Linked DNA regions of Schizosaccharomyces pombe. Changing the gene in region 2 together with the main gene of any one other region gives a genetic interaction. Each region holds a gene or a part of one and is shown on either strand. Other genes may lie near its edges.

Region 1 (8,368 bases), 990 kb from region 2:
GAAATAGTCGCTGAAAATAGATCACGCTCAGCGATTCAAAAAGATATTAAAGCGAAAGAAAGAGCTGTTGAACATATTGCAAAAAAGTATTACAGCAGCAAAATTACAAAAGAGAAAGTACGATGGTGTCTCTACTCTATTGCTGATAGTAACAGTTACTTGAGATATAATCGTGATCCAATTGCCAAACTCATAGGCTTGGTAGAAGCATATTTTTCTCCAGATACCGTGGACGATGAGTTTACTCTTGCTATTGATGCCATTAATGGCTCAAGACTAAAGCATAGTCATTACAAACAGTACCATTATGTTGTGCAAAGTTTGCATCTTTGGCTTTTAATTATGGGAGAAATATTTTCATTATGGGCTCTTAGTGATCTGGAGTTAACTAACCCAGATATGGAGTATAAGCTAATTGATAACAATCAAGGAATACACAGAATGCAGCCTTGTCCCAACATTAGAATTGCGATGGAAAGGATTTTGCGGACGGCTCAAGAACAGTCTGAAACATGGATAGGAAGTTCAACAATCCATCTCGGAGATACCGCTGTTCCAAATGCCTTATTGTTTATAGACAAGTATATGCAAGTGCCAAGGATTTTAACACCCTTGGTTCTATTGTTCAAGGAGTTAGATTCTTTAAATGACCATTCTCTTCTTAACTACATTGATACAGCTTTTGGAGGCAGAGAATATTTAAAAAAGACTATTTTAACCGATTTTATGAGATTCGGATTTGATGGATCTGGTGCAGACAATTGGTTTGATGTAAGTTAAAATTATCTATCTATATATATATCTGTTTAATTACTAACTAGCTCTAGGCTGGCAGTTGTATTGATGGACGTTTGACTAGTGCCTGGAATTGGGCAAACAACATACACACAAAAGATTACTATCGTGTACTTCTCATGTCCGGATTTCTTAGCTTCAATGGTGAGTAATTATTTAGTAATGGATTAAAATACAATCTTTTAAGCATCAGTTATTTTATTATTGCAAAAATGTATATAAATTCTCGACGTGTAATAGGCTCCCACCAACAACTGCCAACATCAGGAAATCTTATTACGTTTCGCGTAAATTGTTCAAAAGATTGACATAAATACACGTACCAAAAACCTTTATTTACTTTATTTTATTGAAGTTGGTTGTATTTAGAGATACTTTGATCGGTTTATACTTAGAATACTTTGGAGATTAATTTGATAAAGGATTAAACCTAGGATGCGTTTATGTTGAAAACCCTTAGCAAAGTGTCAAAAAACTTGTCAAATACAAGTGCTTTTCTTGTCAAGTCGAAACCCTTATACATTTCTTTTTGCACTTGCAAAGCGTACTTTGAAGACAATACTTCATTAAGCAGACGGTTTTTCTCTGCAAAAAAAAGTTTACAATTCAAATCTTTAATAAGAAAGTATTCTGAAGACTCTACCTTGGCCTGGAGAGATTATGAAAACTATAATGATGATGACCTGCTATATCAACGTGAGTTATCAGAAATATATAACAAATGTCTGAAAGCTCTGCATCCGTTTTACCCAGTTTTTGAGGTTAATAGTAACTTGTATTATCAGTTGCTAATGTTTACGAATTATTCAAATCCGAAAGATAATGGTTTTTCAAAATTGCTTTTCTCACAATATTCTGACGAAAAAAAGGTACTGGTAAATTTCGTATATAATGTGCTTCGTTTAGATCCGGATTTGCAAAGGCAAAAGCGAATTCTGGAGAGCATTATTTCAGCTGCCTTGAATATTTGCGTATCTACTGTAAATTTGAGTAGAACTGACTTAAAATCTTCTTTAAAAATAATTTTGCAAACAATTGATCTGTTTAAATATGACAGTTCATTCTCTTCTATATATTTTCGAAAAGATGGACCGTACCACAAAGTTGAAAAACTGCTGAAAAGCGCTAATATTCGCTCTTCACTTAATTCAAAAACTTTTAATGATTTCCGCACACTTTTCTTGCTTCTCATTAGAGATTACAGTCTTTTCCATGGAAATTCGAGCCATTGCATGTTAGCTAATTCTATGCTACCACCGTCTATTGCTTTTTCGAAGATGGAGAAGGCTGAAATTTTTTTACGTTTACGTGCGTTTTTTCAGCTTATGGAGCATATTGATAATGAAAGGATAACTCCATCTGAACAGTTTCTGGATAAAGTCTTTATATCTCTCCTTTCGGCTAAAAATAGCTGCTCTCTTAAAATGTGGCTCATTCACTCATTTAATAAGGGATGGCCGGTAAAAATTGAGTTTTTTGTTTCTTTTTTCAAAAATTTTTCCAATATAGTAGAAGGCTCTATGGAGGTCTATTCCGCATATTTACATATTATACGAGATCACTACAATTTATCTGATTTGGCTGACGTACAAGCAATTTTTCTTTCTCGTTTTATTTTATTAAGAAAGAAAGAAGATTGCAAAAAACTACTGGAGCATGTTTTACCTATTCGTCAGCTTTTTTTGTTAAATTGCTATAGCCTGCTAAATGTACTCGCTAATTACGTTGTCGTCTTTAAAGATCGTTTAATTTTTCAAGAAATAAATCAAAATTGGGAAGAGCATAAAGGCCAAATTCCGGAAAATTTTATTTTCTCTCTTTTGAAGATGTTTGGTGAAATGCAAGAGAATCAAGGTTTTTTGAATGCCTGTATTTATTATATAAACAAAAAGAAAAATTTAAACGAAGTTAGTCGTTATAAGATTAATTTATTATTACTACAAGGTGTGAATTCCTTCGAAGTAAAAGACTTTTACAGAAAACGAGGAATCGAAATAATGCCAAAAAACCTGCCCAGATTTTTTTGTTATTGTTTAAAAAAAAATAAATTAAGTTATGCTTTAAAGTATATACGGTTATCTGGGCTTCAGTTTGATTACATTGTTGATTGTTTCCGTAATAGCAGCGACTGGACCAGAACTCTGATTTCGATATTGAGCAAAAAAATGGGAACTGAATTCGCAATTCGTTTTTTAAAGATAATTTCTTTTCCTTTGTTATCAAATGACAAAGTTCTCCGAGAGATCGAATTTTTTGCCATTCACGAGGTAAATTTTAGAAGTCTCAAATGGGTTGCAGATCAACAATTGCGAATTCTCCCAGGATGGAGTTCTCGCCCCCAAAAAGCAACATTTCCTTTATGTACAGTTCATTTAAAAAAGTGATAATTCTCGATAGTGCTGCTTCCAATCTACATCGTGCTTGGTGCTTGATACATTTAAACGCATTGTTTGATAATTAATATATTCATTGGTATCAAGTTGTACTTTACGAGGTATGCAGCCAACAATAGATTATTTACATTAACATTGAGAGACTTAATAAAGCAGCACATTTAAAAATGAGATCGACATTAGAATCAAAACCCGTATAATAATAAGCAGTATTTCCAACTATTTTCCTAACAAATCTGATGCCATCTATATTATCACTACGTACTGAACACTTCTATGTCGCAAAGAAAAAGTGCGGTTAAAACTTTTTGTTGTAGATAAAAGACAAAATTTGAAAGAAACAAAAAACTTAAACTGCCCAAATTTTTATAGCAATCCATTTTCTTTCCCACGTTGATTAATAATGCATATATCCACTGGAATGGTTAGGGCTTCTATATCTAATACTTTAGTAACATTAACCATCGAAGGAAACAATGATCGATACCAAGTCATACTTGATAAAAACGTAAATGCAAAACAGTTTGTTAAAACGTGTTGGAGAAACAAAAAACCATTGTAAGATTGTTATTGACGACAAGAAACTAAACTATTAGAATTGTAAAAGAAGGAAAAATATTTGTAGACAAAGGATTCCCTTTTGATCCATGCAGAACATTTTTGGAAGCACTTTACGAAAAATATTCATATTCAAGTCCCCTACCTTCCTCTGTTGAATTTAAAAGTGGAAAACAGGTAGAATTCTGTGGTTTCGAAAAAATCCAAAGCAAGCAAAGAGATTTAAAAAGCTTGCGCGTTATTATTCTAGACAATTATAGGATTGAAGATATTGAAATAGAGTACGAGTATTCTAAAATACTACCTGGTATGTCACTTATTTTCAACTAAATGTTAACGGAATTTGTAGAAGTTATCGACTTAGATTTATCGAGAAATTTGTTTCATGAATTTTTTCCAATCCTTAAATTGTGTTCCCAGCTTCCTTCATTAAGAAATTTAACTCTAGAGCATGTGTTTTTGTTTATCTCTACACGTATATTCTAACTCTTTCAGTTCAAACTTATTTTCAAATTTTATTAGCTCAAATACCGTTCTTTTAATTCCTCATTTAACACAACTTTCAGTGAATGGATGTGGCCTAAACAGTAAAGATGTTCAATGGATTACAGAGACTTTTCCCAGTTTGGAAGTACTTTACCTTGAAGCAAATGAAATAATTTTATCAAAAGCAACATCTTTTAAAAATCTGCAGTTCCTTCAAACGTTAAGTCTTGCAAATAATCTCAATCTTTATAGTGCTGATGGCTATGCAGTTGATGTGTTCCAAGGGTAAGTATATTTGAGAAATACGAATTAGGTTTCTAATCTAAAGAATTAACAATTTGAATTTATCTTCTACCTCCCTCGCTGATGTTGCAGAACTACCTGTACACACTTTACACAAATTGACATTCCTTGACATATCAGAAAACAACATTAGGGATATTCGTTCTCTGGATCATCTTCGTACATTAGAAAACTTAAAGCACCTGCGTATAACACTTTCTTATTTTAATAAACCTACTGATATAGCTAAACTGCTGGTGATTGCGCGAATTCCTTCTCTTGTAAAATTGAATGATGTGAATATATCACCTAATGAGCGTTTGGATGCTGAGTTGTACTACACTTCATGCATCCGGAAGCTTGTGATTGATAATGAAATTAAGGATGTTGAAGAGCTTACGAAAATAGAGCCATTCTGGGAGGAAATATGGAAATCTCACGAGTTGCCAAGCATTCAATTCCATTTGGAAGCTTCAATCAATGACTGGACGTCTGGCATTCTTAAAAATCGCATAACAAAGGGCATCAAAATATCGTCAATTAACTCAGGTGCGACAATGTTATTAAAGCTCCATTATAATTGGAAACTGTTAGATATAAAAGCTTTAATTTCATACCACTTCGCAATTCCAGTACATACGTCTACTTTTGTCTTTGCTTCAAGCGAACGAGATGTAAGCTTCTCTCCAAAGACTGTCAGAGACGACCAAAAGCGTCTCTTTGAACTCCCTTTTACTTGTACTTTTATCGATGTATATGCAAAGGAAAGTGGAAACGTCTAAAGCCAAGTTATTACTTGAAGGACCAAAATCGATGCTCTAGTTTTACGGCTTCTTTTAAAATACAGAAAAATCTTTTTAGCGAACTCTTTTCTAGTATTATAGTTTACGCGATTAGTCATTAGAAGTTTTTTATATTTAATATTCAATAACTCTTTAAATATACTAATTCCATGTATATACCATATATGAAAAGTGCCTCTAAGTTATTTAATCGGTTCGACACAATTATAAAATTATTAAGAAACAAAGAAAACCAAAGCCAAAACCTTGAACCAATAGAAAAAAAAAATACACGTCAAGTGTGACAAACTAATCCACCACGGTCAACTAAGATCAGGGAACTGGTGATAATAGGGAATCCTTGATTACATAGTTGCAACAAAGCAAGTTCAAAGACCAAATGAAAGCAAAGTGATCAACCATGTCATATAGATTTATTCTTCAATACAGGAAAAGACACAAAGTCCAAATATATTAAGGTTGATAAACGAAAAAATAAGAAACCAATATCGTAGTATTGGAAAATAATTCAGCACACCAAATACACTTATAAAATAAATTAGAAAGGAGACAAAAATTTTAATAGCCAGAAGATTCTAAGATTTCAAATAGGGGAGATAATTCTGGGCCTAAGCCCAACCCTACTGTTTCATAATCATTATCAAGGTAAGAGCCATCATTGTGTTCGTCTTCAAGCGCACTTTGAAAATCAGAATGCATCTGACGAAAAGTCATTTTACGTGCTTTCTTTTTGAGAGCACGACGAGCCTTACGTGATTTTGGTCGTAAAGGAACGGAATTTGTGGTAGTCATACCAGTAGCATTAATTTTGTGTCGGCGTTTTTCACGTGTTTTGATAGCTAAGGTAAACCATTCATCTCGAATTAACTCATCGCGACGTGCCATAGATTTTATGTACTGATTTTTTCGAAACGTCCCAATAGGAATTTTTTCCCAGCGACTCAATGAATTATCTTCTTGTGCAAAGGAAACTGAATTTTCTTCTTGAAGATCAGTTTGTGTAGAAGGTTGCAGAAGAGATGTATCAAGAATATCATCTAGGGATGGCTCTTCTGAAGTTTCATTCAGAGTTTGAGGCCCATAACCGTTGTTAGCAGTGTTTTCACCCTTTGTACATGCATCAAACTTATCATGGTGAAGGGAATGAGAGTGTTTACCATCAATAATACCAATCAAATGATTCGGTTCCTTAGCCCAGGTACCCATTACAGGCGGCTTTGGTTGGGTTATATTTAATCTTGGATCTAATTCAAAAGATGCTACAGAGACAACTGTAGAAACTGGTTGAGCTAAGGTAGCTTTAGCTAGTGTTGGGGTCAAACCAGTACTATTATCGGAAATATTTGCACGAGAAGCCAAAGAAGTAAGATCTTCTTTATAGGCGAGTTCAGCTGATAGCTCAAGCGGAGTAGGGACAGCTGAAAGTAGAGTACGTTGTGAGTTAGGTGATTCCGATAATTCTGTTTTGATTCGGGGTGTTTGACCGAAAGATTTTTTAGGAGTAGATAGATTTAATAACTTATTGTTTTGTAATTCTGGTGTTTCTTCATCAGTTGTATCCCCTTCATCATCTGCTTGGTGAGATAAAGTGTTGAGTTCGTCCGAAGAATCATCAAAGAAGCATTCCCATCCAATCAAGTCAACATCATCTTGTTCATTGTCATGATCGTCAACGCTAGAATCTGAACTAATAAGCCCCAGTAAGAAATCATCATCTGATCGCTCATCCATATTTACATGTTCGGTAAGAAAACGTTCACGATGGCTATTAAAAGAAGCCATGTCCATGTCCAAATTATCAACCCAGGAAGCGCTAACTATATCTTCTTCTTCTTCCTCTTCTTCTTCCGTAGATGTCGAAAAGCCATTTTCAGTTTCACCTTCGTACGTTGAGAGGTGCTTGCTTTTCGAAAAACCTTGATTATCCTTTTGTGGAGAAATAAAACATTTATTTTTCCAACTCTCTTTAAACATTGCATCTCTTTTTAAAATTTTCGGTGCCTCTAACGCAAACGATCCTTGATTAGACGAACGTCGTCTAATTCCTGCGTTTTCTCGTTTTACAAACTCTGTAGGGGGAGTAGAAACTTTTAAAAGTCCATTGGATACCTCTTTCGACTTGGGATGTGAGGAAGACTTTTTCCAAGAATTAATTTTCAGAGGCTCCTTATTTGAATAAAATGGTTTTTCATCGACAAATTTCTCTTTCGATCTACCGATTTCAAATCCCAGGGATAATTTTGAATCAGAAAAATCATGAAATTGATTTTCCTCACTGTCAGATAAAGGCAAATCCAATTTCTGTCTTTCTTCTTGAAAGATGAATGTTGGCATTTTGTCAAAATCAACGGGAAAATTCAATTCCGCTGGTAACTTTTTAATTTCTTCAGTATTTTGATACCCATTCTGTATATCATACTCTTCAATTCGCCCATTCGTTAGCGCCATCCTAACATTCGCAAAGACGAATTACTTGGCTGTGGTTAAGTACTCAACTGCTTGAAAGCGGAATTCTTAGCCTCTAGTTCTGATTCCACCAACTACCCTACCCTAAAAGTTGTGCGTGAAATCAGCGTGATGCCGCCCTAATTTTTCACTTCATTACGGCATTCCCAAAGGTAACACAAATTTCATTGCGACACTTAACTTCACGACACCAATGTTCATAATGGTGCTATAAATTACAACAGAATCTGCAACAATTGCTACTTTATATTATTTGCACACGCATTCCATATTTTTTATCGCACTTCCAATTGCATTTTTGCAATTCGTTTACATCTAAGTAAAGGAATATTTTCAATAGAATGAACTTGAATAGCATCTGGTGTAATTGCACTCATAGTTGGGTCATAAATTTGAAATCATTCATTGATTAATCATTTTGAAGTTAATTATGAATTTAGAGCAACCGTTGTTGGCAAAATAGTTGTTAAAGCACTTTGCTAATATAGTTGGTAAATATCTAATATAATGTCTATACGACAGAAGTTTAAATTACAGAACAGATGAATTTTACTAGCGTACCAAGCAGAGTAGTTCAAAACAGCA
Region 2 (6,928 bases):
TGTCACTACCTGTGCAGTAGGAACTAGCATCGGAAGCAAGGTATAAGTAAGCACCGGGAAGCTCATCAGGTAGACCAATACGGGCTTGAGGAGTATACTCCTTCCATTTCTTACGCAAGTTTTCATCAGCGTACAGAGTCAAATCTGTGTCAATGTAGCCAGGAGACACGGAGTTGACACGAGCGAAAGGGGCCCACTCAACGGCAAGAGCGCGAGCCAGATGTTTGACAGCAGCCTTGGTAGCATGATAAGAAGCCCATTGTTGAGGCCAATTGGCAATGTGACCACTCATACTAGCCGTGAAGATCAAACTGCCCTTTCCTTGCTTCTTAAAATGATGGCCAGCAGCCTGTGCAGTATAATAAGCACCGTTCAGGTTTATGCCCACGACCTTGGTCCAGATGTCTTCATTCTTATCTTCCAAGGATAAGTGGGGAATCGCAATACCAGCATTAGCAATCATTACATCCAAACGACCACCCAATTCCTCAACTGCCTGGTTGGTGGTTTCAATTACAGCACTACGGTTCTCAATGGGGCAAGAATAAGCCTTGGCTTGAACACCATGTTTGTCGCGTAATTCAGCAGCATACTCAAGAGCCTTTTTGTTACGACCGTACAAAAGACCAACATTAGATCCAGCGGCAGCGAATGCTTTAGCAATCGAAAATCCGATACCGCCTGAACCACCGGTGATGAGAGTGGTTTTACCTTTAAGAGAAAACATAGAAGTCATTATGAGATATATGAAAAAAACCGAACGATGTAATAATTATTAAGAAAAAAAAAACCCCACAAAAATATTTTAGCGAACAAAAAGTGGTAGTAAAATTTATGAACACCGGTTTAATAGCTTTTGATTAGATGAAAAGCAAAAATTTTTTTCCGAAAGATTTTTAATAGTAAGAGAAGGCACTCTTGGCAACCAGAAAGAAAAATTGCTTTGTGGCAATGGACCCAAGGCTTTTATACAAAAAATTTCCTCTTTTTGACACACAGAAAGAGCAGTCCTAAATAGTGTTGTTGGAAAAAATATATGTGTAAATAAACGATTTGCAAAGGAGGAAAAAAATAGCGCAAATAGACAAAACGGTCGTTTTACTCGAGTGACACTAGTAGATCCATCAAACCGATAATATCGGGTATTGTGATGGCTGAGTGGAAAGTTTGAATGAATAACTGCGAGAAACTAGGCTACACACATAGGAGTCAAAATAGTGTAACCCGCAAAATATAGAAATCCAATTCATAAATGTGAGAATGACAATTCATTTATTATAAATTGGAAACTCATTTCATCTTTTCTTTTTTTTTCGTGAAATACTACGAGTTTCTCTTAAATCCGGGGAGAAAGTACGGATAAAATCCCATGATTAAGAAGGGGAGCGTCGGACGACAAAGGTAGCTTAAATTAACAAATGGCCAAGTGATTTTGGCCATTTGGGGTATGATTTCGCTTCTCTCGATCAAGATGCAAGCGATTAAAGAACTGGACTCGGAAGAGGAACCAAAAGTTGGCGAGTTCTATAAGGGCAACACAATTTCGTTTTGCAAAAATTCGCTTGAAAATGATACTCAATTACCTCAAATTCTCTTCTGCATTAATCCTAAATCCATCCGAAATTTTCTTTTTCCACCCATAGCAATATCAGATCCGAAAGAAGCTCAAAATCACTGTTCGTCTTACTATTATATTAAGTACCGGTATTATATTGTACAGTCAAGATGCGGGATGATGGGAAGAATGTCTTTTTAAATATTATCTAAAAAAGGTAATAGTTACATGTTAATAACTATATATATATATTTCCAGACTATACTAGTAAAGTAACGGTTGAAAAAATGTGTAAGTAGAAGAACTATTAAACTTAATTGCGTTCAGTAGTTTCTGCATGGTTTTTAACTAAAACCATGTTCGATATTGTTAACTATTAAATATACTTATTCAAAAAAAAAGAACACCAGATTCTCCTGTCACGCATCTAGGTTTCCAGTTTTTCATCTGTTCCCTCATTAACGTTCTACCAGTTGCCCGCATTGTTCCAGAAGATCAACCCAAATCTGAACGAGATGCAATAGCCTGGAGACTACCAGAGTCTTCATTTTACCCGACCGAGATCGTTTCCATGGTCGGAATCGAACACTGGAATACTTGAGACTTGGCGAAAAATGAGTATTATACAAGGGAAGAAAAGAAGAAGAAAATAAAAGGATAATTTATGTTTTACGGCAATAAAATAATGAATTAATAAGCAAGAAGTATTAAAATGGACTTTACCACTAATGAGGTTCTGTTTAGTAGGTTAGTAGTCTGTAAAAATTTGACAAGAAAAAATTTTCCGTTTCTTCAATTGAAGGGGAGCTCCATTTTAAGATTTGAATGGTCTGAAGAAATGTATAGATTGTATATATGGTTGTTACCGTACCGAAAAGACTATAATGAAAAGTTTAAGGGAATTCTAATAAATCCTTCTATTTTTCTTCTTGGCTGTCATCATGTTCAAATATGCAGTTTTCCGAACAACCTTGTATTTTTCATGGGAAAATGCGATTTGTTTCGTTTTTGTTAGCTTTGTTTGAATACCATTTTTTAACTTATGCGATACTTTCTAAACGGAGTTCACTTTTTAAATTAATCTATATCAACTGAGCCGTTCAATTCAATCCCTTTTTTTATATCAGCTTGTAAACAAACGTTTCAGGAAATGAGAAAGTTCAAAAAGCGTTAAACAGTGAATGCTTGTATGTTGAGCTTTGACTTGTTTGCAAATGTTTAATTGTCGAAATTCATCATCTGTATCTGTCCAAAGTTGTGAACTGACAAGATAGAGATTAATTTGTTAGATCACGCAAAGTACGATATGTTTAAAATGCTTATACCAGGTTGCAGTCTTTGTTTTTCATAGCTTTGCAAAAAAAAAAGTGGATTAAAATACTAATGACTACTAGGGTTCGAAAGGTTGCTGTTCGATTATGAAAAAGCGTTCACTCTTTTATCTCCCAAGCGATGATTTGAATTTTTGATGCATCTGTGGCGTAGAATATGATCAATCATTTTAGAAAACAGAATAATATTCAAGGATCCATTTAAAGTCCTATATAGAGTAAAGGATTTTAGCTATTATCCTCACATTGAAGACTGGTCCCATTATACCGAAGTCTGTTGACATTAATATCGTTGTACCGGCTTTTTGAGTAGACTAAATATCTTGTACAGGATCTACTTTGAAAGAGGGTATTAGGTCCTTTTTTTATTTTTTGTTTTCCAAGGATTAAGATAGAAGCTGAATTTTTTTGGCTAGGCAAAGTTGACTAATTATTAACAGACTGTGGTTCGAGTGATTAGCAATCAACCTATCCTTATATGAAATCGTGCTTTTAACAATTTCGGTTGTTGGGAGATAACTGTGTGTACGGAGAATCAGAAATTTTTGTTTTGGAAAATATTTGTAAAAGCAATTACGTCTAAATATAATGAATTACGCGCTAGAAAATTTTCATATAGCTGAATCCCGAAAAGCTCAACCTCCCATATGATTGAGCATCCATAAAAGCATGAAATTTTTGGTACAAGTATCGGTGAATCGTAAATTTAGAAATAACTGAGCAATTTTATCTCATACATAATATAGGAATGAAACGTTTGTCGATCAATAACTAGTCTGATACTTGATGCAAACATTTAATCAAATACCCTTTTTTAGGAATTTAAGGAAAGGGCTTTAAAAGAAATTGAAAACTTAACTAGAACTAGCTTTTCTTAATCGTTTCTCGTAACTTATCACCACACGCTAACATTAGCATTCCTTTGTATTCCAACGTTACCTACACTGCAGTCAAGGAAAATCATCCAACCTAACATTATTCCTTTGCATATCGCGTCCATTTTATTTTCTACCATGTCAAATACTGTTAGGAGCTTAGTCATCAAAACTAATGTCGTTAAAAGAATTATTAAAGATGTAGAAGTAAGTTTCCTTTTTGGATCGCGATTTTGTAGATGGAATTTTCTGACCTCAACAATTGTTTAGTTGGCTCATATCGATATTAACGAGGCCGAGAAACGTGTACAAAGTAAAATTGATAATGGGGAAGATTCTGCAGAAATTGAGCATCAGGTATGTTGCATTAGTTGAAACCATATAAACGTTGGACGTGTTGTGCTAGAAGATGTTTCTACCAAGCTGAAGATACTTTTCGGTGGTTTCCGCTTTAGCGTATCTTTTTTAAAATAAAAAATAATCAAAGTACTGACATTCTGGACCTCTAGAAATTTGTTTTGAAGAAGCATCTTGAGGCGTTGCCAGATGCTCTTGTACGTCTTCGTAATGCGACGAACGACTTGGAATCCATTTCTTCTGACAGTGCATACGAAGGAACTCCTGAACTTGAACAAGCAAATGAATATTTAGAAAAAGCAAAAGAAGTAATTGAAAAAGAGCAAACGAATTTCCCCACGAATGGGTACCACTGAATACACATTTACTAGCTTTTGTAGATCCCTGCTAAAATTTATTACTGACCCTTCAAAAGACGATCATGAAAAGGTTCTACGTTCATCATTCTTTACCCACCCTTTCAATGCTATCCTACTCAACTGTACTGTGTCTTCGATTTTTATTCCAATCCATTAAAATAATAGACAATCCCAACTACTTAAGGATTATCCAAGTCATGCTTAAATCTTTTTTAAGATTTCGCCAATCTATTCTAATTTTGCCAGTTAGGTGAAACTGTTCACATAAAAAAACATACGTATTCCCCTTTATTCTACTAGAGATTTAAATTTTAGCTGGACAATCAAACAATTTTAAAACAACCAAATGTTCCTGCTAACAAGCAGCATAGACAGTCGTCCTCTAGTATTTATTTGCACTTTTATTGTGAGTGTAATGTAGCGTATCACTATGTTAGATTGTACAGCTCATTGTTTGACGTTACTTACCATCTGAGCAAAGAGAAAGAAACACTTCGCGTGAACATTAAACAGATTGGGAGCATAAAACGTTCCATTTGTATACCTATGGCAAGTCCGCCAATATTATCAAGGGAATCACCTGTGTTGGGTTTAGAAGAAGAGAAGAAATCTGACGGCGGCAACTCTGAAGTAAATATTGACCCTTCTGCATCTTCATCGTTGAAGGAAGATGTAGATGGCGAAGAGGGAGCTGATACAAAAATAGATCCACACCTTCTTGAAGAAGATGATTTAAATCCTGTAGAGGATTACGATTCTAAAAACCAAAAAGTCGTTGAAGCATCTAAACTTGACCTTGACGCTACATCAACTGTTTGGGCGGAGAGTCTTAGTATTAATAGAGAAGCTAGTATTTCCCAATCAGGCATTGTAGACAATGAAATGGAGAAAAAAGTTGAAGAGGAAGAAGAGTTTGACGAATTTGACGATTTTGGTGAATTTGAACATGATATCCCCATCTGTACATTTATGGGTGATTGGCAAGATGATTTCCAAGATGCTGTCAATTCTGTATTTGGACTACCTGAAACTCCGAAAACAATTGAAGAATCCTCCTTGGATCCGGATCGTATATTGTCTCTTTGGCAAAAACTGATTGAAATGCCCGTGCTGCAACGGCCAGATTGGCTGAGGTCTAGCATCAGGCATATTTTTTTAGTTACTATGGGTCTTCCTGTTGATTTGGATGAACTTTTGCCTACTCCTTCTACCCAGGGATCATTCAATTCTTCACGCACAATAGAATTGTCTTCCGTGACGTTGCCAAAATCTGAGGATGAACCATATTTAGATTATTCAGCTGCTCGTCGTTTATGCAGCATAAACAAAGACGCATTAACCCACCGATCTCATGAGTCTTTACAACAGCATATAGAGTTACTAGAATCAACTCTGCAGCAAGCTGTTGAAGTTGCTCGATATTGGACCGATAAAAGGGATTCAGCTCTTAGCGATAAGTTGTTATATGAGACGGTTGTCGATGATTTAGTTCAACATAGCAAACGTTTAAGAAACTCTGGTCGTAAATTCCTTTCTAGAAGGAGCACTTCCTCTCATAAATGATCCCTTTATATCTTTAATTACCGACCTCTTTTCCTGAATTGCTGTTTTCTTGTTTAATTTTACGGGAGTAAAATAAAACGGAAGCGTTTTATTTTTGTTGCTGACGAACCTTTGTTACGTCTAACGTGATTAGATTTGACTTGTGATTCAGCTGTATTGTCTTCTTCGATTCTTTTGCCTCTTCTCTTCTTTTTAATGACTAATATTTTAATGACTCTTCTCTATGTGTTTATCAATATTATGTCAACCACTTGTAAATATAAATGGAACAGTATCCTAACCTAAGCGCCATTCTTGGTTATTTACATAATAGTCCATAATTATCTCTAAAGAAAAGGAGCAAATTTTGATTCACTGTTGGTACTTAAGTTATTCATCGTTAAAAAAACATTAAGAACATTTGTCGACACATTTCTGGCAAATTGATAACAACTTGAATGAACTGTTAAAATTATAAGCAGGAAGTTGAAATTTTATTTTTATTTATACTTATTCGTTAGACTTGCATTTGGAATGCTTTGGATTTACTAGTACCCTTATTCTCTTACAACCTGGACGTTCCTAGTAATATCAAACAATTAATTGACTTATGGAATTAGATGGCTTATCGACTAAAAAAAGCTAAGGCATTTCTTGACTAAAAACGCAAGGAAAGGACTATAAAAATTTGATTGTTACTACAGGTAAATCGAGAACCATCGTATATAGGAGCTGCAAAATTTTGTATATTATTGGTATGTTTGTCAGACGCTAAATGATTCTTACTTGATGGATAGTTTAACCTTTTTTTTTTGAGATTTACATGCAATTCATCTATTGCCTAAATTCACCAGCCATTATTTTGACAAATGCATTAAACTATTTAAGTATAGCGATTGCTTTTATAAA

What was found. A genetic interaction does not mean that the proteins touch.
Region 1: of alp31 (region 2) and alp21, extra expression of one is lethal in a mutant of the other (dosage lethality), as found in Schizosaccharomyces pombe (one study listed by BioGRID).

What each region holds. Positions count from the first base shown.
Region 1 is NC_003424.3:2,386,495-2,394,862, forward strand, and holds alp21 (tubulin-specific chaperone cofactor E), read left to right. Parts: upstream 1-3,441; 5' UTR 3,442-3,591; coding exon 3,592-3,746; exon of another isoform or gene 3,747-3,784; coding exon 3,785-4,053; exon of another isoform or gene 4,054-4,095; coding exon 4,096-4,195; exon of another isoform or gene 4,196-4,241; coding exon 4,242-4,517; intron 4,518-4,560; coding exon 4,561-5,296; 3' UTR 5,297-5,449; downstream 5,450-8,368. Other genes in the region: SPOM_SPAC22H10.08 (uncharacterized protein), read left to right, coding at 1-771, 828-947; protein Cbp8, read left to right, coding at 1,239-3,179; TOR signaling pathway transcriptional corepressor Ifh1, read right to left, coding at 5,876-7,765.
Region 2 is NC_003424.3:3,373,249-3,380,176, forward strand, and holds alp31 (tubulin-specific chaperone cofactor A Alp31), read left to right. Parts: upstream 1-3,857; 5' UTR 3,858-3,899; coding exon 3,900-3,968; intron 3,969-4,031; coding exon 4,032-4,118; intron 4,119-4,270; coding exon 4,271-4,474; 3' UTR 4,475-4,652; coding exon of another isoform or gene 4,653-4,710; 3' UTR 4,711-4,755; coding exon of another isoform or gene 4,756-4,773; 3' UTR 4,774-4,820; downstream 4,821-6,928. Other genes in the region: SPOM_SPAC8E11.10 (sorbose reductase), read right to left, coding at 1-736; SPOM_SPAC8E11.12 (uncharacterized protein), read left to right, coding at 1,448-1,756; SPOM_SPAC8E11.08C (uncharacterized protein), read left to right, coding at 2,268-2,570; SPOM_SPAC8E11.06 (uncharacterized protein), read right to left, coding at 4,653-4,710, 4,756-4,773, 4,821-4,846; SPOM_SPAC8E11.05C (uncharacterized protein), read left to right, coding at 5,024-6,040. UniProt on the Schizosaccharomyces pombe protein: Required for the maintenance of microtubule structures and cell polarity. Beta-tubulin-folding protein; may have a regulatory role in the tubulin-folding pathway.